Linked DNA regions of Drosophila melanogaster. The protein of the gene in region 3 interacts with the protein of the main gene of each other region in a pairwise test. Each region holds a gene or a part of one and is shown on either strand. Other genes may lie near its edges.

Region 1 (10,282 bases), on a different chromosome or scaffold from region 3:
TCGAGTTCTTTAGCTGCGAGCTGTGCTCGTTCTGCATTCAGAACGCTGAGCACGGAACTCTCGACTCATATCCTTCGCTTCAAACCACTTGACATTTTCACAGTCTGGCATCCATGTCAATTTTGCGGTTTCGGTTTCATACACATCCATGTGGATGCGATTGTGGATGTGTGGGCACGGGCACGGGCACCATTCTCCACATGAATGTGGAATTTTGGGCTCGGATTTTGTGGGCACACCGACAGCAATGATATCTTAAGCGTTCTGAATAATAGTTTGTGAATAATGGTACAACTAAAAGTCGGGGGAGTCGTAAAATACAAACAATCGTGGAGTTTTTTGCATAACGAACGACTGAACTACAATTTTTACGATTGCATTCCGATTTATTTGGTATGTAAAAATCGAATGGGACAATATTGAAACAAGGCGTACAATATGTATGTACATATGTGTTCTTTGATCTCAAAAAGCATTCTTTGGCCATTATAGAGCTACACTCGACCCCATTTTGACCAGGCCAGTAATTAGTCGCTTTAAAGTAAGCCGTGTCCGAAGTGATTGGGAAAATAAAGCAGAGAATATTGTGGAAGCGGTGTTAATATCGTTGCGTGTTTCATAGAATCGTAAATATGTGCGAGTGGCGGACGAGAATGTGAGATTCCTACAGCCGTCTACTTAGGGTCTTTCTATTTGGCCACTTACACTACAGACTATGTATCTGTATCTGCATATATGTACATATATTTGTATCTATATTGGTGTGCGTGCGCCTGAGTGTGTAATCCGTCCATAAGTGGCCTCAAATGCCTATCCATAATGATGATGATGATGTGGTTGCCGCTGCGACCAATAGTTGGTCATTCATCACGACGATTCGCGGGGGGAGTACGATATGTACAAGTATTGGATGGAGTATAGGAATATGGTATGGTATGGCATGGTATGGTATGGCATGGTATGGTTTGGTTTGGTATGGTATGGTATGGTTCGGAACCGTAAAGTATGGTTTCGGTATGGTATGCTATGCTATAGTTGCGGAGCCGAAAACCAATTTATGCCGCATGTCACGCCTTCTTGTGAGTGTCCGTCGGCATTTCGGATACTCATTTGTGCAAACGGGAGGGACAGACCATTTCGAGGGCGTTGCCCATTATAGATCTCATCAGACCAATACTATATACATTTGAATCTGGATTCGTTGAGACAAGCAAATATGTACGTGTGCTTTTCGCAGGCGAGAAGAGCTAGCTTGACTTGTGATTGTGATCCAAATGAGTTACGCACATCGGTCTATTTACGTAAAAACATTACTAAATGATTTAAGGTGGGCAGTAATATATCTGAATTAAATGGCATTTAACGAAAATAGCAATTTTTTGTAGATATTTTCCACTGGACTTTATATCTTTCGAATGGAAAAACAAAATCCGCATAAAATCGATGACTCATCTATATTATTCACATAAAGTACATATGCTCTATTTTCATAGTGAAAACATGAAAATTATGTATCCGCCCAGAGAACCAATAAAAAAAAGCATCTTTGATTACATGTTTCTTCAATTTTGCCGTTGTTTATTTGTTAATAAAAAACTTAAAATCTTGTTGTAATACAGTACACAATCGTCGGGAGGAATTTTCGTTTGCGATAGCAATAACATTTTCGTTCACCTACGATCTATCAACCTTTGCGATGGATTTTTATAATTTTGTTTTTTTTTTTTTGGGTTTATTTTTTTTCTTTAGGGATTGGTTGAATTGAATCTCTTCTGGTTTTTTATTTTTTTAACACACGGGGGGGATATGTTTCAATAGAATTTGCTTGCTGTGTTAGTACATCCAAGTTATACAATACAATATAGTTTTATTGGCTACGAAAAAAATTGTCTTAAAACTATTTAATATATGCCATTCATAATATATATTTCGTTATAAATATCAATACTTCGTTGTACACCGATAGAGGGGGCAGGGAAACGGAACCCGTTCCAAAATCCCCGCTTCTGCACTGCCCAGCCCGCTTTTCAGATGACAGACTTTAATTTTTTTTTTTTTTTGGATCCGATCCTGGGATCCCACACACACACACACACACACTCTCATTCATGCATCTGCACATTCACACTGAGGAACGGATTGAATACTATACACTTAGATGTCGCACTACAGTATACATTATACATTATACATAGGTTTCCAAAAAAAAAAAAAATCCATATAACACATGTACGAGCAGAAAAAGCTTAGTTTCGGAGCAATTCCAGTTTTCAGAGGGGGGGGTGGGGTACTTAGTGGCATTGGTTGCGGGTGTTGCGGGGTCGCGCCTGAGGAGGAGTGCCAGCCATTTAATGGTCAAGCTGTGGCACAGCCCCACCACCTGAAGCTCCACCTTTTTGTGTAATGCAGCACGCCACCAAATGTATTCTTCTTAAAATACGATTCACACACAAAAAAAAAATATAAAAACAAATTTGACTAAGGAAATCATCTAGAAATCATCGCCATGGATCAGCAGTCTGGACATTAGACGGAAATCGGCGCATTCGTGGCCGCCGGCGATTGCTGTTGCGGCTGCTGTTGGTGGTGCTGATGGTGATGATGGTGGTGGTGACCCATGTGGTGATGACCCAGATGATGGTGCTGCTCCTGATGGTGGTGGCTCAGGGTCAGATGATGATGCTGCTCCTGCTGGTGTTGCTGCTGCAGCTGGTGATGGTGGTTGTATTGCTGGTGCTGTGTCTTCAGCAGCATGGAGCGGTACATTTCGGAGAGGAGACTCCACATGGGCGGCGAGTCCTTGGCCAGATCCACGGGTGATCCCGCCGGCAGGAAGGCGGTGGGCGGTGCCTGGCTGGTGGCAGCGGCAGCCGCTGCGGCGGCAAACATCTGGGTCTGCAGCAGGCGCAGATGATGATGCTCCTCGAGGTCCAGAACGGGCAGTGGGAGCATTTGCCGCCGGCTGGTCATGTAGGCACTGTCGCTATCCGGGTCCAGATCCATTTTGATGCTCGTCTGTGGTGGATTGGCGCTAGCGCTGGCGGAGGAACTAGAGGCGGAGGAGGCGGCTGCCGTGGAACAGGCGGAGCTGGAGGCGGTGCTGTCGTGACGCTTACGCTTGCCCAGCAACTGATCCATGGAGAAGGCATCGCTGGGCGAGCGCTTCTCACGCTCCAGCTCATGCTCCTGTTCGGGTTCGTGCTCCTTGTCGGATTCCACATCCTGTTCCTGCTCCTTTTCCGCCTCCCGCTCCCGTTCCTGCTCCTGCTCCTGCTCCTGTTCCCGATCCTGCTCCGACTTGCGACGCTTGTGAAGGCTGAAATCCAATGGCTGGTCAGCTGCCCGCTCCTCATCGGCGGCAATGCTACTACTGCTGGCCAGGCTCAAGCTGCAGTGCATCTCCTCATCCTGCTCATTATCCCGTTCGTGTTCCTCCTGATCCTCGCTGGAGGCCGCCGGACTAGAGCTATTGGCCTGCATGTCCACGTACACAAAGTCGTTGTCATCTTCGGGATCAGCATCCTGTTCATTGTCCACCGATCCAGAATCGGGATCCTGACAGCCGGTGGAAAGCAGGCCCAAGCCATGTAGACCCGCCTGTCCGCCGAACATGACGTACGGATGGTGACCATGATGCGGCGGCGGCGGTGGCAGAAGTCCGGGAAAGGCAACCGGAAGTCGTCCGGCGACAGCGGCCGCTGCTGCGGCTGTTCCGGGCGAGAAAACCGGAAACTGCTGGGCAGTGCGGCCATCGTGCGGCGAGATCTTGCGCCGGATGTGTGGCGAATGGAGTTTGGGATTCGGATTGGCGCTATGGCGATTCCTCGAACGCCTCGAACTGAACACCATATTGCAGCCCTCCACCGTGCACTTGTGCATCTCGCGAAGATGCACGGCCGAAAAGTGAATCTTAAGGGCGCCCTTGTCGCAGAAGGTCTTGAAGCAAATGGAGCACTGTACTCGTTTCTTTCCCGTGGCTGGATTGATAAACTGACCGGCCAGATTGATGGGCGGTGAGCCCCAGCGACGAGGCTTTAAGGATGAACCTGATCCAGTGCCCGATCCCGCTGCCGATCCCGATCCAGAGCCACTGGATCCGCCGGGTGAGCTGGCCGGAGAGGCGGCATTTGGCTGCGGGTGTGACGGTAGATGGGAGTGCACATGCTGGTGGGAATGTGGGCCATGGCCCAGCAGATAAGCCGGTGACATGAACGGATTCATTATGTGCTCCATGTCGTCTGTGGTGGATTTTGTTTCTATGGTCGCGCTGGCGATGGCGATGGCGATGACTGGTGGTGCCTGGAAAACAAACAAGAAACAGAAACGAATCGTTAGGAGTGTCAATCAGGGAGTGTCAATCAGGAAGTCAGTGAATCGGTCAGTCCTAATCGAAAACTATTGCCAGGGTTGCGGGGCAAATCCGATTGCGCAACTACAACTGGGAAACTGGAATCAACCTTATCGCCGAGAGTCAGCAGGGCAAATTGTTGAATGGTCTGTGGTGCCGGGGACATGGACATTGACTCCTGGACCTGGGACATTGGGCAGTGGTCATTGATGCGCAATTAGAGTGCGAAAAGTCAAGACGGTCGAATAAGTCAAGGGGAGAAAACTTTATTTTGGGGGGGGGTCTCAATTAATCAGTGGATTACAGCGATTAGTTGGTCATTGCTGTAAGATACATTCTGAAATCCAGATTTAAAAGAAAGTCTTTAAGGCTGCCAGCTGTGTGCTTCAAAAAAAAAAAAACCCCATTGCTGTTCAAATGGCTTTTTCATTAATTAATATTCGATATCCTTAAGATATAGATTAATATCTGAGGCGAATGTATATGTACATATGACTGCATTGCCACGCCAAAAGCACTAATCTATAGCATTGGAAAGCGCTCTAAAGTCATATCTCAAGTGTATTACCGAAATTCCCAAGTGAAAGCTTCCAAGGAGCTTAGCCAACTTTGTGCAAATCCAGCTAGATTTATTGGTAAGACACACACTGCTTACAATAACTCAGACAAGCGAACATTTATATCGGCGACACCGATGGCGGCATATCTTTCATGTCGAGCCGATAGTACAGTAGAACAACTAGAGTTGCCATGTTTTGTATTTTGAAATAATCAAAAGGGGTATCCCAGTGACTGACGCTACATCATTTGTTTAATCTTTATCATTTTGGTTCCTATGCACCCAATTTCTGTCGTAGCCAAGGCCCACTGTACACTAACACTGGCGCATTACTTGTGTAAGTGCACATTGCCTCATTTACTCGAGCGAAATCTTTTACAGCTTTTTCGGTTCTTCTGGCCATTAAAATCGCCTCTGACAACGTCGACGGCGACGACAACATGCGGCGATCAGTGTCGGACTTCGACTTTGGATCCGATCGGTCGGAGTTAAAGCCAAAACCAAAACCAAAAGCAAAGCTAAAGCCAGAGCTAGCTCATTTTTTTTATTGTGGACTCCGTTCGCTACCGTAATTGTGAGCAGTCGACTTGACGTTAAAAACAGAAACAAATCAGGGGTAAAAAAAAAAAAAAAGAAGTGAACCGAACCCAGGGGCGTCACAAAACTGGGGACAATTGCGGTGAGATGCGGATGACGATGGTGATGATCGTGTGTGCGATGTCGTGGCTGGCTATCTGGATTCGATCTCAAAAGTCGAACACACATTCGCATTCGCTTGCCCAATGCCAGCTAAAAAGTTAAGCCGAAAACCACATACGACTATGGCTCACACATACAGGCATACAGGTAACACGCACACAGTTGCAGGAAGCCAGGAGATGGTCGCTTTTTATGGGGCTCATTAGTAACGATGACAACAATAGCATTAAAATGAGTGTATGTACACACGGCGAAAATGCGAAAGCGCAAGAAAAAAAAAAGAAGAGCAAAAAGGGGGGAAAAAAAACTTAATTGTCAGGTACTTGGAAGTAATCAGTTTCTGACTAGGTGCCGAAAATATTGTTACCATTCAAGAAATAGAGAATGACCCAAAGATGTTGCAATAATTTTCTAGATCATTATAAGTTAACTATATCATATGAGTTGAAGGTGCCTATACCTTTTTATCTTCCAAGAATCTTTTAAAAAAGAGATTCAACTCAAAAAAAAATATAGATCTTTTAACATTTCAATATAAAACAATTCAAGATCTAAGCATCATAACAATCTTGCATAGCACAATAAGGCGCAACGGAAAACAATAACAACCTCTCTATTTTCTCTCAGTGCACGCGGTCGACAGATCGAGGTGAGTATGCATGTACATGGGTAATTATTTTTGTCAAACGCTTAAAATGTCTTAAGCCACCGATGGTGAAAGGGGGGGTGATGTTGGGCAGCTGGGGGTAGGGGAAAAACCAATCACAACTTTTGATGGCTCTCGGACGAAACGTTTTTTGATTATCGGCAGTGGCAAAGGCAGCAAAATGTTGAAAGTACCCAAGACAAGAAACGACAAGATTGAAGAATTCCGAGAGTTGGGAGACGCTTTAGATGGTAGATGGTAGATCCAAGATCTGTGGAGTACGGTGTGTGGCAGTTGGGGATGGAAGATGCCGAGATGTGAGCAATCCGGCGGCTATAATTGCTGTTGTAGTTGCTGTTAATAGTAGTACATTATAATAAGCAGGAGTCGATGGGCACAAGGGGCATGCAAGGGGCATGCGATGGTCCAAAGATGACAACGCCGATGGTCCGGACATCAACGAGAAAAACAGAGCTCGAAAACCGCAGACAAAAATCTTAATTACAACTTTGACATTTGGCGTTTCCCCCGAAGACATCACTTTTTTGTCGTCGAAGCTCACGCAGCAAATAGACAAAAATGGGTTTACGAACATTGGATTAACAAGCTGTTTTCAATTTAGCAAAGTCAGGATATTATAAGAAAATCCATAGACTAGAGGTAAAAGATGGCAGCACATCACCAGAGATCCCATGAAAATGGTAATACCATATTAATGCCACTAGCAGCCTATGTGATCCTAACAAGATCATTATTTACCACGAAAAGAATCCTATTGTTGCGTTCCTATTTCATAACACAATTCTTGAATGGGTAATATTTTTATGGCACCAGGATTTCTTTTTAGAAAATACTCCTCTGATCTCGAAAAATATTCACTATGACTTCACTTGAATTTGAATTCTTTGCTTGAAGTGCCGACGGCAAATCAACTTTACTCGAACTATACATACCTTTTGCTAATTTAGCAGCGAGTTGTAGATATTTTATTGTATTTTGGTTTATTGCTGTTTTTTTTTTTTGTTTTAGATTTTCTCACTTTGTCACAGGTTTGAGATTTAAAAAAAGGGTTTCTTTCGCTTTGTTTTGTTTTGATATTTTGTTGCGTAAAAAGTTGATAAATTCAGATGGTAGAATTCACTGTTGGAGCTGTGTGCTGTTGTTGTTTTCATGCCCGTGGTGCATTTATTTTTGTTGCATTTTGCTGAGATATTAAAAAAGTTGGTCGTTCACAGTTGACGATGACACACACACACACACACACACGCTCGTATGCACGCACACTTATGCACTGGGTCGCGCGGCAGAGAGAAGAGTGGACTGGACGCGAATATGCGGATGCGAATATGTGAATATGCGGAGTGGCAAACGAAGTAGCGACGAAGATGCGGATGTGCGGAGAGCAGGGACAGCAGAGATCCACTTCTTCGAATGTCGTGGGTGACACTGATTGTCGATTTGTCGTTTCACCAACGAATTTGTGCGGCGACTGCGACGCCGGCAGCGCAGCGGGCAGAGAGCGAGCGACAAATGCGGCGACACCGACACCGACACACCGACTGACTGACACAAACACACACGCACACGCGGGGTGGGTGACATTTGGCTCTCTCTCGCTCGCTCTCCCGCTCGCTCTTGCGCCCTCTCTCTTTCACTCTTTCGCTCTTGCACCTGGAAGAGTGTGAGAGAGCGCGCTATTGGAATTGGCCTTCGTCACATTGTCGTCGATGGGTCATTAGGCACTCGCCCGAGTGCGAGCGAGAGATCCGCCCGCACTTGAGTCCATCCCGCTCGCCCAGTCGGCAAAGCAGTGCGAGGCAAGAGTAGCCACCACTCTCTTACTCACGCCGCGAAAGAGCGCCGTCCCGTGCGTGCGAGCGGCTTGGCACGCTCGTGCGGCTATCTCGCGCCCGCTCGCACACTGTCGTCTGAGTGGACGAAACCGTTTCGTTGGGTTGACACATGCGACATGCGACGTGTGTGTGTGTGGTCAGTGCGGCACACACATTCACACGCACTGCCGCCAGCCAAAGAGAACGCAGCGCTCGCTCTCGCCGCTTGCTGGTATGGGTGCCTTGGGTTCGATGGTGTGAGTACATGGCCGGGCACTATAGTGTGACAGAGCGAGAGAGAGGGAGCCGGAGCACAAGAGCGCAAGAGGGAGAGAGCAACGAGAGTGAAATGGCAATGGCCACAGTATACAGTACACAGTACGTAATTTGTCGCTGCTGCGACGTCACTTTTTGTCTTGGGCTTCTCCTCTCTGCTTCTCTTCACGAAGGTTCTTTTGAAATTTTTGTCATTTGATGTCTTGTCCACTCGGTGCTGTGCCCTCTCGCCGTCCCTATCGCACCCGCACGAATGGCCGCGTTGAGCGGCTCTCTTTGTTTTGCGATTGCGCTGTGCATCTGTATGGGTGTGTGTGTGGGTGCGAATGTCGCTGTATAGGTGTATCTGTGTATGGGTGACACTTTGGCAATGGGGGCGATTCGCTTCGATTTTTTTTCCCTGTCGCCACACAGCACCAATGGAATTCGAGCACTGGTGACAAAGAAGCGACGCTGCTGCTTCCTCTTTCCACCCCACACCCCTACCGCAGTCCCTCAACGATCCTATCACCATGACCGCCCCCACCACCACTATATATGTATGTACATATGTATGCATGTATAACTTATGTAAATTGCACAGCTTCGGTATGTAAGTGCCTTATGTGATAGCAGCACCTACACACATATACACAGCTCCTTGTCGTTTCATTGTCCTTTTCATTGCCGAATTAAAATAATTCTCACCCACACTCCCACACAGTATATGTATGTATTTGCTAGACGCCGGAATGTCCCACATAAGGATACAAAAGCACACATACATATTTGGCCACATTTGTTCTTCAATTTATCCACACAAGTGTCCGAGAAAAGTTCTTAAAGCGAAAAAAAACCGTACGGAACAAATCCTATTTGCATTAATCACCATAAAAAAATATAACAATAAGGACCGCATTATTATGTTGCATACCCACAAGGCGTTAGCATCAATGTTGGACTTCCAGGAAATGGTCAGGACTTAATAAAAAGCACTCTCTTAACATTCAATATCTTTAAGTATTACATATCATACCATACGTTTAAATGGTATATAAGGTTCTAACTAAAATTCATTCAAGTAAGTTTACTTACTACTTATAAACCAAACCCAAATCAGTTTCTTGTTAACCTAAAGCTTTAAGCTTTAAGGCTTCTCAAATACAATGCATCACTCATTCAATTAGTTGTTTCTTATTTAGCTTTCGTAATCGCGTAATCGCAAGTACCTTTGCAGAAACATTAATTGTTCTAAATATATAAATAACACAATTTATTCACTGTTGTTTTCCTAAAAACTATGTTTACTTCAATTTTTAATCTGAAGGTGGGAATAAATCCTCCAAACCCAAACTATAATTCTTTCAGATAAACAGATTTATCTGAAACTTAAAAGCACCATAATTCCACTTTAAAATGTGATGTGAAAATTAATGATTATAATTAGATGTGTTGTGAAAATCATTTTTCAACGAAGTTTTTACAGAATGTACCATCAATTTAAGTGACAAGTGCAGCAACCTTTATGCTGCCTCGATTCTATTCAACAAGGTGTCCTCAAATTGCTTGATTTGAGAATAATATCTGATAATATTAATGTGTGGAGTGCCTTTATAATCGATTCCCCATTGCTGAGTGTCACTTTTCAATTCGGCGCCGCCAACTGGCCTTTGTGAATTGATTGATGTGAGTTCGAAGGTGAAAAGTCAATCCTCGAAGGTTTTTTTTTTAATATTGTTTGGAACGAATGGAAATATCTTCTCTGGGGTCATCTCGATGTCGCCCCCCCATTTTTTTTTTTTTCATGTTGGACAGTGCTAGTCAACACTTTCGTTTTTCCTTTCTCTTCTATTGTGTAGCGAAATGGTTTCATTAATCAAAAATTTGGAGAAATAAATGCTCGTTTCTTTCGATTTATTTCGGCCCCCTGCCAGATTTGATAA
Region 2 (7,694 bases), on a different chromosome or scaffold from region 3:
ATTGCCATCTTTCGCTTAACATCATCATTTTTCTGCTCACACAGTCCCATGCGCCGGCTAAGGCCATCTTCCTGTTCTCCAACTTGCTGATCCTGGCGTGCATTCCATTTCGTTTGATTGGCGACACCGATACCGAGGAGGCCATCCTGATTTTCGCTGTGCCGGGCTCCTGGTTTCTCCTAATGTTCTTTGCTGGGTAAATTAGATAGATAGATAGCTTGTGCAGGAGTTATCCCCAATCCTCATGTTTCAGTGCCATTCGGCTGACGGGTCCGTTTGTGACCATGATCTATTCCATGATCACGGGCGACATGTTCACCTTCGGCATCATCTACTGCATCGTCCTGTGCGGATTCTCGCAGGCCTTCTACTTCCTCTACAAGGGACATCCCCAGGTGCAGTCCACCATGTTCAATACCTACACCAGCACTTGGATGGCCCTGTTCCAAACCACACTGGGTGATTATAACGTAAGTGGGTGCCTCGATCGTGGATTACTTACTTGTAATTATATAACTTCTGTTGCAGTATCCCGATCTCAATCAGACCACATATCCCAATCTCTCCAAGACCGTGTTTGTCATCTTTATGATCTTCGTACCCATCCTGTTGCTCAACATGTTGATTGCCATGATGGGCAACACCTATGTGACTGTGATCGAGCAGTCGGAGAAGGAATGGATGAAGCAGTGGGCCAAGATTGTCGTCACCCTGGAGCGCGCTGTTCCGCAGGCGGATGCCAAGGGCTATCTGGAGGCATACTCCATCCCGCTGGGTCCGTCCGATGACTCCGGTTTCGAAGTGCGCGGCGTGATGGTCATCAAGAGCAAGAGCAAGACGAGGGCCAAGCAGCGAAAAGGAGCCGTCTCCAACTGGAAGGTAAGTTGCCATACCCCGTACGCATCCTAATGCATTCCTAAGCCAATCCTCTGCAGCGCGTGGGTCGTGTGACGCTAACGGCGCTCAAGAAACGCGGAATGACCGGCGAGGAGATGCGTCGCCTTATGTGGGGCCGTGCCTCCATCTCCAGTCCCGTGAAAGTGACGAAGCAGAAGCTTAAGGATCCCTACAATCTGCACACGGACTCCGACTTCACCAACGCCATGGACATGCTGACCTTCGCTAGCAACCCGGCTTCCTCCAATGGCGTCACCCTGCGATCGGTAACAGCGCCTCCGCCCGCACCGCCAGCACCGGATCCCTTCAGGGAGCTGATCATGATGTCGGACCAGCGACCGGAGACCCATGATCCCCACTACTTTGCCGGCCTGCAGCAGCTGGCCAATAAGGCTTTCGATTTGGTGGAGCAAACGATGAAGACACAGCCGCAAGCGCCGGTGGCCAAGAAGGTGGATCCACTGCCAGTGGCTTCGGTGGCCAAAGCATCTCCAGCCGCTCCTGCAACACAAGCTACTGCTACTGCTGCTGCTGCTTCCGATCTAATGGCCATGCCACTGCCCATTTCGAACTTGAGCAATCTTTTCCAAGACCCCAAGGACATTGTCGATCCCAAAAAGCTGGAGGAGTTCATGGCCATGCTGGCCGAGGTGGAAACCGAGGAGAGCGACAGCGGCGGACCCATTCTCGGCAAGCTATCGCTGGCCAAACGGACACACAATGCCCTATCCAAGGCGGAAATTCGACGGGATCAGCAGGGATTCGAGGGTCACAGCCATGGACAGTTTCAGCCCATGTCCTCGGTGTGGGCACCACCTGGCCTGGATGTGGACACGGTGAGTGGATAAAAAAAGTGAAATAGCTGAGTGCAAAATGTAAACCCACTAGCAGGGCTTCCACTTCGATGAAGCCGTCGCGGAGGAGGTGCTGACCATCGAACAGGAAGCCGAAGTGGAGACCGAGGACGGCAATGGTGGACAGGACAGCGAGGATATACCCACGGCGGAGGAGGTGCACGCCACTATGAAGCAGTTTCACCTGCGCAAGTGCCAGCCAGCACAGGATGAGGCCGCTCGTCGCGCCAAAAGTGCTCGTGTTCGTCGCCGAAACAAGTGAGTTCCCATCCCAGTGTCCGTTTCATATCTTAATCCCACGTTTTCCTTGGGCGCCAGAGTTTCGCCGGAGCAAAGCGATGATCCGGACGAGCGCAGCCAGCGGGGACGTTCCGCTTACACGCGGCGAACGCAATCGCCGCCCGATCCGCTGGAACCATGGAGCACCCGCGAACTGCAGGACATCAACAAGATCCTGGCCAGAAAGTGAATACAGTTAGCGCAGGAGTTTCTGGCACATAGTCCTTGGTGGCTTATAATTGTTTATCAGATCTTAGCTTAGTTAGAAGTACAAATACATAATAAAGAGCGCGGATGCCACGCGAAACGCTGGGTTATGCTTTGGACCGGTGGCATCCGTCACCCGTCACATACATACACTAATACACTCGATTTCCCATTATTCTCTCTAAGTGCTAGGTTTAAAAGTGGTGGAGGTGGCGGTTTTTTTTTTTGGAGAAGGTGAAACCTGCTGCCAGGGGGCGGGAGGGTCAGCAATAAATTACAATTGAGAAATCGTTTCTACACAGATGCCTACGACTTAGACACTAGCTATATATAATCTCCCCCGCGATATACAATCGTATACACCTACGTAAACTATAATATTATACATTGTGCTGGATGACAGGGGATGGCGCAATCAATGCCCGCTTGCCAATGCCCGATTCCAATGCCTCCCGATGCTTTCGATATGATTGCCAACTGTCCGTCTGTCCGTCCGTCCGTTGGTACGGATATCATACTTCCAGCTTTTACCGAAATCCGCCGGTTAATGTGCGATCCGTGGACATGGTGGAGATCGTTTGTGCCTGTTGCTGCTGCGCCGACTGCTGCTGCTGCGCCTGCGTCGCCGCCGCCTGGGCACCAGTCATGGTCGAGTTGATAAAGATCGGCGTGCCACTGGCCACCGCACTGGCGTTGCTCTGCTGCGTGAGATTGGCGTGCTGCTGCTGTTGCTGCTGCTGCTGATGGGCCACTGTGGGTGCTCCGCCCAGCTGGAGCAGTTGCTGTGTCGTCAGCAGTTGGGTTGGTATGATGACCTGTTGTTGCTGCTGCTGCTGTTGCTGCTGCTGTTGTTGCTGCTGCTGCTGCTGTTGCATTTGTAGTCGCTGCAGGAGATTCAAATGACTGGCATTGATGGCGATCTGCAATGGGAAAGGCAAGTCTTAATCTGGGATTCAATACAATTACCTCAAGTGATACCTACCGGCACATTAGTCAGCTCCCCCGTGGGCGTAACCACTTGCTGCAGCAGCTGAATCTGCTGCTGATGTTGCTGGTGCTGCTGTTGCTGCTGGGCGAGATTCTGGAGCAGCGCCGTCTGTTGCTGGGCAGTCGTTTGCGGCGCTGGCGTTGCGGTCAGCTGACCATTGGGACCGGCGGTCAGTATCAACTGCTGGGTGGGTTGTTGGGTTGACAAAATGTTGATGGGTAGATGATTCTGCGCGGGCTGCGGCTGCTGCACGAGCTGCGCCGCCTGCTGACTCGGCAGTGCGATAAAGTATTGCAACTGTTGGCCACCAGCGCCCTGCTGAATAATCTGAACCTGCTGTGGATGTGCCTGGTGATGTTGCTGCTGCTGTTGTTGCTGCTGCTGCTGGGCGGCGTGCTGTTGCTGCTGTTGTTGTTGCTGCTGCAGTTGCGCTGAGAAGATGTCCGAGTTGACAGTGCTGAAGCCGAGCACCTCGGCGGCATTGGTTGCACCCGTGGTGTCCAGCTTGAGGCCACCAGCGGTGGTCGCAGGTACGGTGGAACCACTGGCTACAAAGTTGCCCGTGGCGGTAGCATTGCCCGCCACGGAGGCGGCCGCATTGGAGGTGGCTGTGTTGGAGGTGGAGGCGGCACTGCTGGCTGCGCCCGCCATTCCGCTCGAACTGGATGTACTGCCATCCTTGGTCTTTTGCGCCGACGACGGTTTGATCTCTTCGCGCGGCACAATGTCGATGAGGAAGTCGAACTGGTCGTAGTTGGCTATGGCCTGGGCAATGTCCGAACGCTGGAGCGTACGCCGCCGGCTCTCCTCGGTGTGCACCCAAGCGTGCATAGTCAGCTCCTGAATGAAGTACTCGCAGGCTTTGGCAAACAGTAGCGGCGCCTCGCCGGCAATCATCTTGGCGTTCTCGTCCAGCTTCATGATTTTCTTGATGCGCGCCAGCGGCAGCACCTGGTGCTTGGCATCCACCTGGCCGATGCTGTGCACCTCGCTCACGATATTTGGCCAGAAGTTGTCGATGGTGGGCGGCGGTTTGCGTGCCACCTGAGTTCGTGTGGCCTTCGTGGTCTTCTCCTTGGCGCCGCTCGCAACGGTGGTGGCCACCGTCACACTCATGCTGGGATTAACCAGCGTACAGGCGTTGGACACCAAACTGGCCATGGGAACCGTCTGCTGTTGCTGCTGGCCCTGCTGTTGCTGCTGCTGCTGGGCGGAGGAGACGGTGGAGGAGGAGGTGACCACCACTGCATTCGGTGTTCTTCGCTGCATAGCCGCTGAATTTTGCGATTTGGCATACGCCTGGCCCAGTTCCATCTTTATGGGCGTCACTGTGATGGTGTTGTCGAACATGGAGGTGGCATTGCTGTAGGGCATTCACATTAGTTTCATTCAAATTATTTGGCATGCACAAATCGCAGAATGAAAACAAAAAGGATCGGCGCACACACTAAAAATCTCGGCTGTACCGCCTGTTTTTTTGGGGGAGGGGCGCTAGATTTTGCTGGCGGAGGCGGAACTTACCTGTTTGGCGCCTTGTTCGTGCCGCCATTGTTGGTGGCGTACATGGCCCGGTTGGCTGGAGACCTTAGCTCGGCGTTGGCGGCAACCGTGGGACTCTGGCGACCGGCTCGAGTCCACAATATTCGCTTTAATTAGCTTCTAATTCGCAAAGCAAATGCGTAATGTAATGCACACACACACACATGCATACACGCGAGCGTCAGTGTGACCAGGCGGCGGTGAGGGCGAAAACTGGACAGCCCGATAACGATAGCTTTTAGTCGGGCTAACTGGCTACTTCCAAGCCACATTTAGCCGGCACAATCGACAATCGCATTCTGCCCGCTTTCAAGCCAGATCGGACAGCACTTACCGCTGATAAGGAATGCATCGAATCTAAACTACAATCCCAATCCCTGAGAGAAACGAAGATGAAGGACCTCTTCTGGCACCTGGTGGGCATAGCCACCGGCCTAAAGATCCTGCTGATTCCAGCCTAGTAAATGCAGTGCTCTGTCCACTTATCAAGCCCACTAAATCAACTTCATCCTTAGCCATTCCACGGATTTCGAAGTCCATCGCAACTGGCTGGCCATCACCCACAGTTTGCCGCTGAATCAGTGGTATGTGGACGCCACCAGCGAGTGGACACTGGACTATCCGCCGTTCTTCGCCTACTTCGAGTGGCTGCTCTCGCAGGTGGCCAAGTACGTGGATCCACGAATGCTGGTGGTGGATAACCTGAATTACGAGTCCAAGGCCACCGTTTACTTTCAGCGGCTCTCGGTGATTGTTACGGATCTAGTGTATGTGCTCGGCGTGCGCAGCTGCCTGGGCTCACTGGGATTGGGCAGGGATACGCAGCAGTTCTTTGCCGCCTCCATGTTGCTGCTCCTCAACGTGGGATTGATCTTCGTGGACCACATTCACTTTCAGTACAATGGCTTGCTGTTCGGCATACTGCTCCTGAGCATCGGTTCCCTCATCCGGCAGCGGTTCCTCTGGAGCGCCTTTGCCTTCGCCGTGCTGCTCAACTTTAAGCACATCTTTCTGTACATGGCGCCCGCTTTTGGGGTCTACCTGCTGCGTTTCTATTGCCTGGAGCAAGCGAGTGTGGTGTCTGCGGTGGGTGCCGTTGTCAAGCTGCTGGTCGTTGGACTTACTCCGTTCGCCGTGTCTTTCGGACCCTTCTGGCAGCAATTGCCGCAAGTCCTCTCCCGTCTGTTTCCTTTCAAGCGTGGCCTAACGCACGCCTACTGGGCACCCAACTTCTGGGCGCTGTACAATGCCGCCGACAAGTTGGCCGCCGGAGTTTTGAAGGTACAGGATGGCGGTGCCTCGACGACGTCAGGATTGGTCCAGGAGGTCAGGCACTCGGTGCTGCCAGCCATCACACCGCCTGTGACTTTTGCCCTGACCGCTCTCTTCATGCTGCCCATTTTGGTGAAGCTCTTTCGCAGTGCCAAGAAGTGAGGAAATCCTCGTTTGGATTCCAAGATATCGCAGCAAACTTATCCGCCATCTCTTTGCAGACAAAGTCCGCTGGTCTTCCTGCGAGCGGTGGTTTTGTGCGGCTGTTCCTCCTTCGTCTTCGGCTGGCATGTGCACGAGAAGGCCATCTTAATGGTGCTCCTTCCGCTCTGGTGAGTTCCCTTCCCCTCAGTTAATTCGAAATGAAGGAATCCTACTAACAGGCCCACCCTTTTTCAGTCTGCTCACGCTGGTAAACCGGGAGGATGCCAGATACGCCTATGTCCTTGGCATTGCCGGCTATTTCTCTCTCTTTCCGCTGCTCTTCGATGCGGATCTGTACATTCCCCGGTATTCCCTGTACATGTCGTACGTGGCCATGATGTACGGCCAGCTGTATCGCATCTTCCCCGGCTTCCGAGGCTTCCACACGCTGGAGTGGCTATACATGCTGGGCTTCATGGCTATTCCGCTGTACGAGCATCTGCTCTCTTTCCTGCTGCACCTGGACCAGCGCCTGCCCTTCTTGCCCCTACTGCTGACCTCCGTGTACTCGGCGTTGGGAGTGCTCTACTTCTTTGGGGCCTACTATCTGTACGCTCTGGGCATTAGCTGGGGCAAGGTGCCCATCGCATCGTCCACATCCGCGGCCGCTGTTAAGAGAAAACGAAAAACCAAATAAACGGAGCGCTATAAAGGGCTTCAGCAGAAATCCGCAATTGGTCACGTCTTGCATTCAGAGTGGTAGTGCTGGTGGTGCAGCCGAGCAGTCTTCAAGGCGCCTGGCGCAACAGCCAGTTCGGCGCCGCTGGACGGGATTCTCTGGTCCGATCGGCACAATGGACAACGAACAATGGCTGTTAAGCAGAATTCGGTGGGCAGGTAGCGGTCACCGGCGGCGTCTAAGGTGCCACGTACCTGTTGGCACGACCAGATTATGGCCTTTTGGGCCATAAAACAGGTACGAGGCGGAATAGTCGGCCGGCCGTCCGTCCGAGTGGGTGACATTCCTGGAAAAACCGTGGAAAACACGCTGGAGCTGAATGAATAAGTGTATATCAATTGCCAGCCTGGGCAGGGAATACTTCAGTTGACGAGCTTCCGTCCAGACGAACAGATCGACATGCAGATGCACATGGAACTCTCCTATGGCCGCGGCTACGATCCAATCGGGAGGCAACCACCGTCTCTTCCTCCTCCGTCGCAACAGCACTGGTCCAGCAAGTAAGCAAACGATTCGGCACTTTTTCCCATCCAGTTAATCAGTTGCCTCAATTTTAGTGGGTTCTCCGACGACTCCGCTTCCTGCTTCCGTCGGGGATCCTATATTGAACTGGCCAGCGGAGCCATGCGTCGCGTGGAGGACATACGCACCGAGGACTTCATCCAGTCGGCGCTGCGCAGTCAACTATTTGAGCTGCGAGAGGCGACAGTAGTGAGGATAGACTGGAGTGGATGCCCCAGCCTGGTGACACTCACCTTCAGCTACGACACACACC
Region 3 (7,345 bases):
GAGGGGTTCAGCCTACTGCAGGTGTCAATGGGAATGTTGAGTTCTAAAGTAGCTCTTCCCACTTGCAGTAGGCTGGAAGCATACGTCGAATCTATTGCATTAATAACATAAACGCTATATTTGTTTACCTCGACTACAATATACACGTTACTTTACTCCCTGCCAAAAAAAAATAAGGTAATCTAGCAGCGGCTATACATATAATCTCATAACTTTTTAATTAATGGTAAATGTGTTAACCCATTGTGACATTTAGATGAATATTCATGACCAGAAATAAATGTTTCCGCTTTTACTTCACCATATTTTAGTGCCTGAGAAATTTATACCTTATGGCCGAAATACTAGCTACAGTGGCTATTGACTAGATAAAAAACTCTCAAAGCTTTTACGGACAAACGAAAATTTTGGGATGGAATCGGCTAATGGTTCTAATTTAGAATAGATTAACTATTTATGTTCGGGAAACCTAGCCTTTACGTGTTACGTGTATTACTAAGGTAGAGGGACGGCGAACAAGAAGCATTAACAATTTTGTGGCAAGAAAAATAATAAAATGACAAAAATCTCAATGCTCCAGCTTTTATCGTTAAAAAATAAAAAAATAAAAATAACTCCCGACGTCTTTATTCTAAATTGATTTCAAAATTTGGAAGTAGTATTTAGATATAGTAAATAGCCTTGTATATTCCGCTAGATTATTAAAACAAAGGAACGATTTGCTAAACAACTTTTTGTCACGCCCACTCTAACGCCCTAAAGCCGCCGAACCGCCGAACACTTTAGAAAATATTTTTAAGTTTTTCTCATTTTATTCTCCAATATCTATCGAAAAATTATAAAATTTCGCGTTCGCATTCACACTAGCTGAGTAACGGGTACCTGATGGGGGATAGGTAGGGGAACTCGACTATAGCATTCTTTCTTTTTTTTACATTACTGACAAATGCCTTACAAAAGATTTACAAAGATCTGTGGAGCCCGACAGATGAGAGAGTAAATGAATTGAGTTTTTGTTAGGTGGTTCGAAACGTAGAACCTATTCTGACCAACAAGTGTCACAGGAATAGCCTTCGCCCACCTTAAACGAAATTAGTTGATAATTTCGTCGTGAATTCGTTGAAGAGAAGTATTTCCTATCATTAGCTTGACATCAGATCCCTGTGCATCGTGGATTTGCTGTAAACTGACAGACGGAGACATGGCGATGGTGATTGCACTACAGGCTACATTATCGGACACCCTGCGAAATGTATCCAAGATGACGAACTTGCCTATAATATTTTCCCCTCTATTCACGAATAGAGAGCGATTCTCGATCGTTTATGCAGTAGTTTTCTCAATGTCAAATACTTTTTTAACGAAAAAAATGATGCCATCTGGCCACATGACACATCACATAAGTTCTGCTTTAGGAATAAGATGAATTTCATACTAACATTCTGAAAGTAATAATTAAAGACGTGCAGAAAGGAAGAGGCACCTAGATAATAGTTAATGATGACGTGTATAATTTTTAGTGTTTTTACTCGCTGATTGTGACGTTTAATTCCCCGTGCACAGCAATAACAAAAGACTATGCTATAGTGGAGTTCCCCGACTATCAGGAACCCAGATATCAGAATACAATTAGAATGAAATAGGCGGTTTATGGGGGTTAGAGTGGGCATAGCAAAAAGTTTTGTTTATCAAATTTACAACACCAGCGAAAATATGAAAAAAGATCAAAACATTTTTCAAAAGCACGGGCGTGACAGGTTTGGTAAGTTTGTAGGTGTGGCAAAATGGGTCAACAAACTTGCGCTGCTTCTATGTCTCTAGAATCTGTATGCTTAACCTCAACCTTTTAGCTTTTATAGCTCAAGGACTGCTAGGTTCGGAAAAATCGAATTTCTTTTAATTTGAAATCTGGTATCGTTTGCCACGTCCAATTTTTGAAATCAGAATTTTCGAAAAAGATATAAAATCAAGAAGTTGAGGTTTTTTTTTTAAATCGCAATACCATTGTTTGTTCACGTTTGACCACCTTTTAGAATTTGAAAAAATGTATAATTTAGAAAATATATGACATAAAGCGTTTGACCATCGCTTACAACTAAATATTATCAATTAAAAACGTTTGCAAAACCATTATTATTATTTTCTTATCGTTTGCACACCCTTAAAACAAAAAAACTAAAAAGAAGTGTAAACTGCGGTTTTAGTAACTGATAATATTTTTTCACCAGATCGAAGGTGCTCTAAAAAATCGCGGTCGGTCATATGCAGCGGTTTGCACTGCCACTGACCACGAAAAATGCCCTCTTTGAACAAGAATTCGACTTTATTCGTTTAAAACATCACCAGATAGATATTGCGAGCCATTATAGTTAAGGCCATCTTTTGGTTTCATTTAGCGCAGTGCTGTACATCGTCGATTGCTTGTCTTTTGTAATGGTACAGTGGTGTTCACAAACTCTTGTGATTCTGTATATGGCTATGGATTTTGTATATAAAGAGCCTGAGTCGATGAGAACTTCGGACTTCTAAAAGTTTTGGGTTTGGTTGGGTTTAATCGGCCAACGCAGAAGTCAACAGCAGGCGTGTGATTTTCGTTGCCAAAATGGTCTCCTTGCTGATCTCAGGGACTTATGAGAATTCGGATCAAGGCTGTGCACAGGACAACTGCGAGGACGACTATTTTACTACATCCGGCGACGCCTTTTTTCGCTTCCAGAGAAGACACTATCATCGAGGTGCTTGCTGCTGAACCACGGATAAGTATTAGGGTTCTGGAAAAAGAGAGACCCCAAGATGCGATGCTTGCCGGACATCAATTGTTGTCACGTTGTTAGCTTCACTTTAATGTGTATAAGTATGTGAATTTGTGAAAGATTTTCATTTAGCAAAAGTAATGATTATTTAAAAGAGTTTTGGCTCGCGAACCGGTTCACCATTATAGGGCACTGTAACTACACGGTTCATGTAACATACTATATATCACCGTACTGTCTAGAAAAAAATCATGCTTGCGTAAGAGTGGGCGTGGCCAGAATGTTTAAGTCATTACGATTAAAAAATTAAGGTTTCATACCATCTATTTTAATTATATCGCAATGCAAAGATAAATGAAACATGTCCCAAAAATGAATTAAAAATTATGGCGGTTTATTTTTATGAAATAAAAGTTTACCCGCTTAATATTCTCTTTAATTTGCGAATACATCAACTTCTTGCTAAACTCTTTTGTATGTATACAATATACTTTTTTTGCCAAGAGTTGAGGAGTATAAAAAACATTTACCGATGAAACGCTTTTGCCGCATTGTCGTTGTTATGGTTATGCCCTTTGGCTTACCAGCATTTGACCCGGAACCTGCAGCAGCGTTTAAAGCGTGAGACAGACCAAGGAATACGCGGGACGAGAAATGTGCATTGACTTTGTTGTTAGAAACCGCGCACTTTGCAGTGCATTTATTCCGTCGTCGGTGTTGAATGAAACAAAAGTGTCGCTATTATTTAACGACAACAGCTCCTTGGACTTCAGACTCTTTGGGGTCTCTTAAGAAATGTTGAGAAAAGTGACATGGCTTAACACATCGGGGGTCTATTCAAAGGACAGATTTATAAATTCCATTTAACCGTTTCTTTAATTTGTATATCGCCTATTTTTATTAAACAATAAAACAGTATTTATAATTCAATTGGCTTTTAAAGGGAGAGAATAATTTTAACATTCGATTAGCCAACAGTAGATGAATAGCCTGAATCCAACGTATAATCCTAGAAAATTCTTGGACTCATTTATTTTGAAAACTTCCGCACAACCTTTAAATGTCATCTCATGGGAATGGTTAAACCATACTTCGATCAAGGCATTACAATAGAAATGTCTACTTCTTCCTTTGGAGACTTAACAGAAAATTTCACTTTCTTTGTTAGCGCTAAATAGGGGTTTGAGGATCTTAGCGATGCAACCTGCACCTGGTCTTGTGTAATATTTATTACGCTTTCTATTAAATAAAGCATACTTTTGTGAGCAATTGTTTGCCTTTTCTGTGCGGTCCACCCGCTAAGTTACAACAACGTATACTGCAGTTGACAAGTGTATGGGGAATTTTGTAAATGAAGTAAACTTATCCCAAGCCCGAATGACTACCGATTGTTGAAAAGAAATAAAATTAGTTTTCTATGCTTTCTTTTATTTTTCAATGGTTTGCTTGTGTAAGCTTTTCATAATTAGTCGGCTTTATTTTATAAGGTAAGTTTACTTTGTCAAAATTGTTGAACTCAACCCAACAACGCATTTCAGCCAGCTTAATTGTACTGACAACTTACATGTACTTGGATGTAATTAATCCACGATGTTTTTAAATATTTAAGTCACTTTTCAACAACTCTCACAATTCACGCTGCATTTCATTTTTGCTAAATATATATCGATCCTTGGCTATCCTTTTTCGTTTTCGAATTCTAAGCAATAGTATTTTTTAAAAACTTCCGCACAATTCGAATCAAATATCTCGGGAGCGCACAACGATTACCGGAAACGCGGAAGCGCTGGTGATGACGGCCACTTGTGGAATGGCTGAATGAACGAAGCGGTGCCATCGGCCGACCCGAGTCCAGACAAAAGACGAATCACAAGCCTGGCCGATGGGAGTCGAGTCGAGCAACAAGTCCACCCAGCAGAGGGGGCTGGAGCTTCCGCCCGCACGAGAGCCTGAGTCGAAACAGACTGGCGAATGGAGAGCAACTGAAAATACTCAAAAACGGAGTGGATTTCTGAGTCAGAGTGTTTTTTTTCGTATTTTCCAAAGTATTGAGGTGGCACCGCTGAAATTAGAGGATTATGTTATCTGGGGTCCTTTAATTAATGCCTGCATATTGACATTGCAGTCCGTACCCACGATAACTCCTTAATATAAATACTAAGTAACTGTTTGAATAAATTTTTTTTATATGAAAATGTTTACGAATGTATCTAATGCGAGTTCCGTTCGACACATTAAAGTGTAATGGTATTTCCTGCACTATTTTTAAAGTTTCATAGCCAAATGACTGCAAAACCAAGAAAGTGTTTGTTTTCGAACCCAAAATTAAATAAACTCAACTCGAAACTCAAATGCGAAATATTAAGTATTTATCAAACCAAAACTCCGTTGGCAGGGCATGACGTTCCTCTACTCACTCCGACATTATATCAATAAGTACTAGGTCCCATGAAAAACGAACGTAAAAACGTAAAACGAATATACCCTTCCCGGCACGTTGTCCCAGGCTAGCTCACACATACACAGATGCAGTTCCAACGCCACCACATATTTGCCCAACGGGGTGGATTGTGGCTCGGAGTTCCTAGACATGGACACCACGTGCTCAGGCTCAACTCCAGAGGGGGGTATTGAGCCATAGGGCAGGGGCACCCACAAGGGACTATGGGAAATTTTACCACTTTTTCTGACCAAAATGAATAACTCCAGAACGGAGTAAGATATTTGGTTTTTCTTTTCTTACATTGACTTATACTAGACCATATCTATGAGACTTCCAAAACTGTGGGCGTGGCACCACGCCTTATATTTAATTAACTAATTTTCGTAAAGGGAATTCTCCTTTATATAAAATAATACTAACAAAAACAAAAGAGAATGCTATAGTCGAGTTCTCCGACTATCAGATTGGGGAATAAATCATTTTTGGGGAATAAAATGAGAAAAAATTTCCAAAGTGTGGGTTTAACCGGTTCGGCGGCTTTAGGGCGTTAGAGTGAGCGTGGCAAAAATGTTTTTGTCAAATCGATAGGAATTTACAAGAATAATACAATTTTGAAAACATTTCAACATTTCACAAAATGCGGCCGTTTAGGCGGTTTTAGGGCGTTAGAGTGGGCGTGGAAAAATGGGTCAACAAACTTGTGTCTGTCTCTAGAATCTGTCTGCTGCATCTCAACCTTCTAGCTTTTATAGTTCCTGAAATCTCGCCGTTCATACGGACGGACAGGGCCAGATCTTCATACGGATAGTCGGACAGACGGACATGATAAGATCGACTCGGTTATTGATCCTGATCAAGAACATATACTTTATATAGTCTTAATCGCTTCCTTCTGACAGTTACATACTTTTCAACGAATTTATTTACTCTACGAGTAACGGGTATAATAATAAAACAAATCAGCAACAAATCAGCAACCGCCTTGTTGAACTCCTTTTTAGCATAAAAAACTTAACAAGAATACAAAGCTACAACATGAGGTACATTTCATTGATGGACTTTTTAAGTTAAGTCTTTATCAAACAAATGCTTTTGTAAGGAAATTTATATTTTACTCAATTTTGGGTACAACACGATTTTTTTTTATTTTGACAGTCACATAAACTTAATACACTTAAATCAGCTGCTTCATTACAACTTTTGTAACGGAGGAAAAACTTAACGTAAATGTTTTTGTAGACGCAACAGATGTTTTTAACAGCATATTTCTTTGTTGTTGCTCCATATATATTTATTTCTAAACATTGGTCAATTATGAATAGACTTATTAAATATTGCATTAATCGACCGACTTTCAGAAAATGGCTTTTAGCCAGAAAAAGTGGGTAAATTTCCCATAGTGCAAGGGTCTAAGTGAGAGGCGGATGACTAGCCTGATTAGTACATGTGACGCATGTTGCTTGCGACGGCCTGCATTCGACTGCGGCTGACTTTCCACTTGGCTGTCGCCAGCTCCTTTGTTACCAACTCCGATTGACTGAGTGAGTTGTATACTGTTATTATTATTATCGTCTGTTTGTCCACGCTCTTGTTGCTGTTGGTTATCACAGTGCTTATGCCCTTATCGGGAGGGCTTTATCTCATGATAAACTATTGTCGGCAGATAATGAAATGTTGCTAGGAAAGCTATTTTGCTTATTCGAATGTTGCGAGCTTCCCTCCACGAATATGTGCGTATGCGGTTTTTTATATGACTAATATTTCTTTTGTTTGATTTGGATCAAAGGGATTTCAATAATTGCTGCAATATTGCATGGATAAAACTTTCATGTATAGAACACTAAGAAAAAAAAATATGTTAAGTTCACTGCTGGAATTGTAATTGTTTATTCCAAGTCAAAGTTGGAATTTGCCTTATATTAAATAAATAATTGTTGAGGTGGATAATATAATGGTGTAATGTATGAATTTAAAAATATGTTGCATGTAAAAGGAGCGTTACCCCGACCCGGGAAATTAAGTTCTCAGTTTTCTTCGAAATGATAGGAAAGACCTTTCTGAGTTGAGGGAACATTATAACTGATGCTTTTGGATTTAATACTTGCTTTAAAACTGAATTAAAATGAAGCATCGCTGCATTATTTGTTTA

What was found.
Region 1: the proteins of dimm (region 3) and disco interact in binary tests that used the Drosophila melanogaster proteins (3 or more experiments, as listed by UniProt).
Region 2: the proteins of dimm (region 3) and Nf-YC interact in a two-hybrid assay, tested with the Drosophila melanogaster proteins (one study listed by BioGRID).

Annotation. Positions count from the first base shown.
Region 1 is NC_004354.4:16,209,046-16,219,327, forward strand, and holds disco (disconnected), read right to left. Parts: upstream 7,706-10,282; 5' UTR 7,206-7,705; intron 4,300-7,205; 5' UTR 4,234-4,299; coding exon 2,527-4,233; 3' UTR 1,553-2,526; downstream 1-1,552. UniProt on the Drosophila melanogaster protein: Required for the establishment of stable connections between the larval optic nerves, the Bolwig's nerves, and their target cells in the brain during embryonic development.
Region 2 is NC_004354.4:6,815,937-6,823,630, forward strand, and holds Nf-YC (nuclear factor Y-box C), read right to left. Parts: upstream 4,984-7,694; 5' UTR 4,791-4,983; coding exon 4,747-4,790; intron 4,589-4,746; coding exon 3,220-4,588; intron 3,158-3,219; coding exon 2,765-3,157; 3' UTR 2,242-2,764; downstream 1-2,241. Other genes in the region: iav (inactive), read left to right, coding at 45-196, 254-470, 529-879, 936-1,733, 1,789-2,009, 2,070-2,220; xit (xiantuan), read left to right, coding at 5,157-5,224, 5,280-6,194, 6,258-6,368, 6,436-6,877; Atx-1 (ataxin 1), read left to right, coding at 7,319-7,419, 7,477-7,694.
Region 3 is NT_033779.5:21,328,999-21,336,343, reverse strand, and holds the start of dimm (dimmed), read right to left. Parts: upstream 4,589-7,345; 5' UTR 4,318-4,588; intron 1-4,317. UniProt on the Drosophila melanogaster protein: Transcription factor that regulates neurosecretory (NS) cell function and neuroendocrine cell fate. Acts as a master regulator of common NS functions such as Phm expression and neuropeptide production.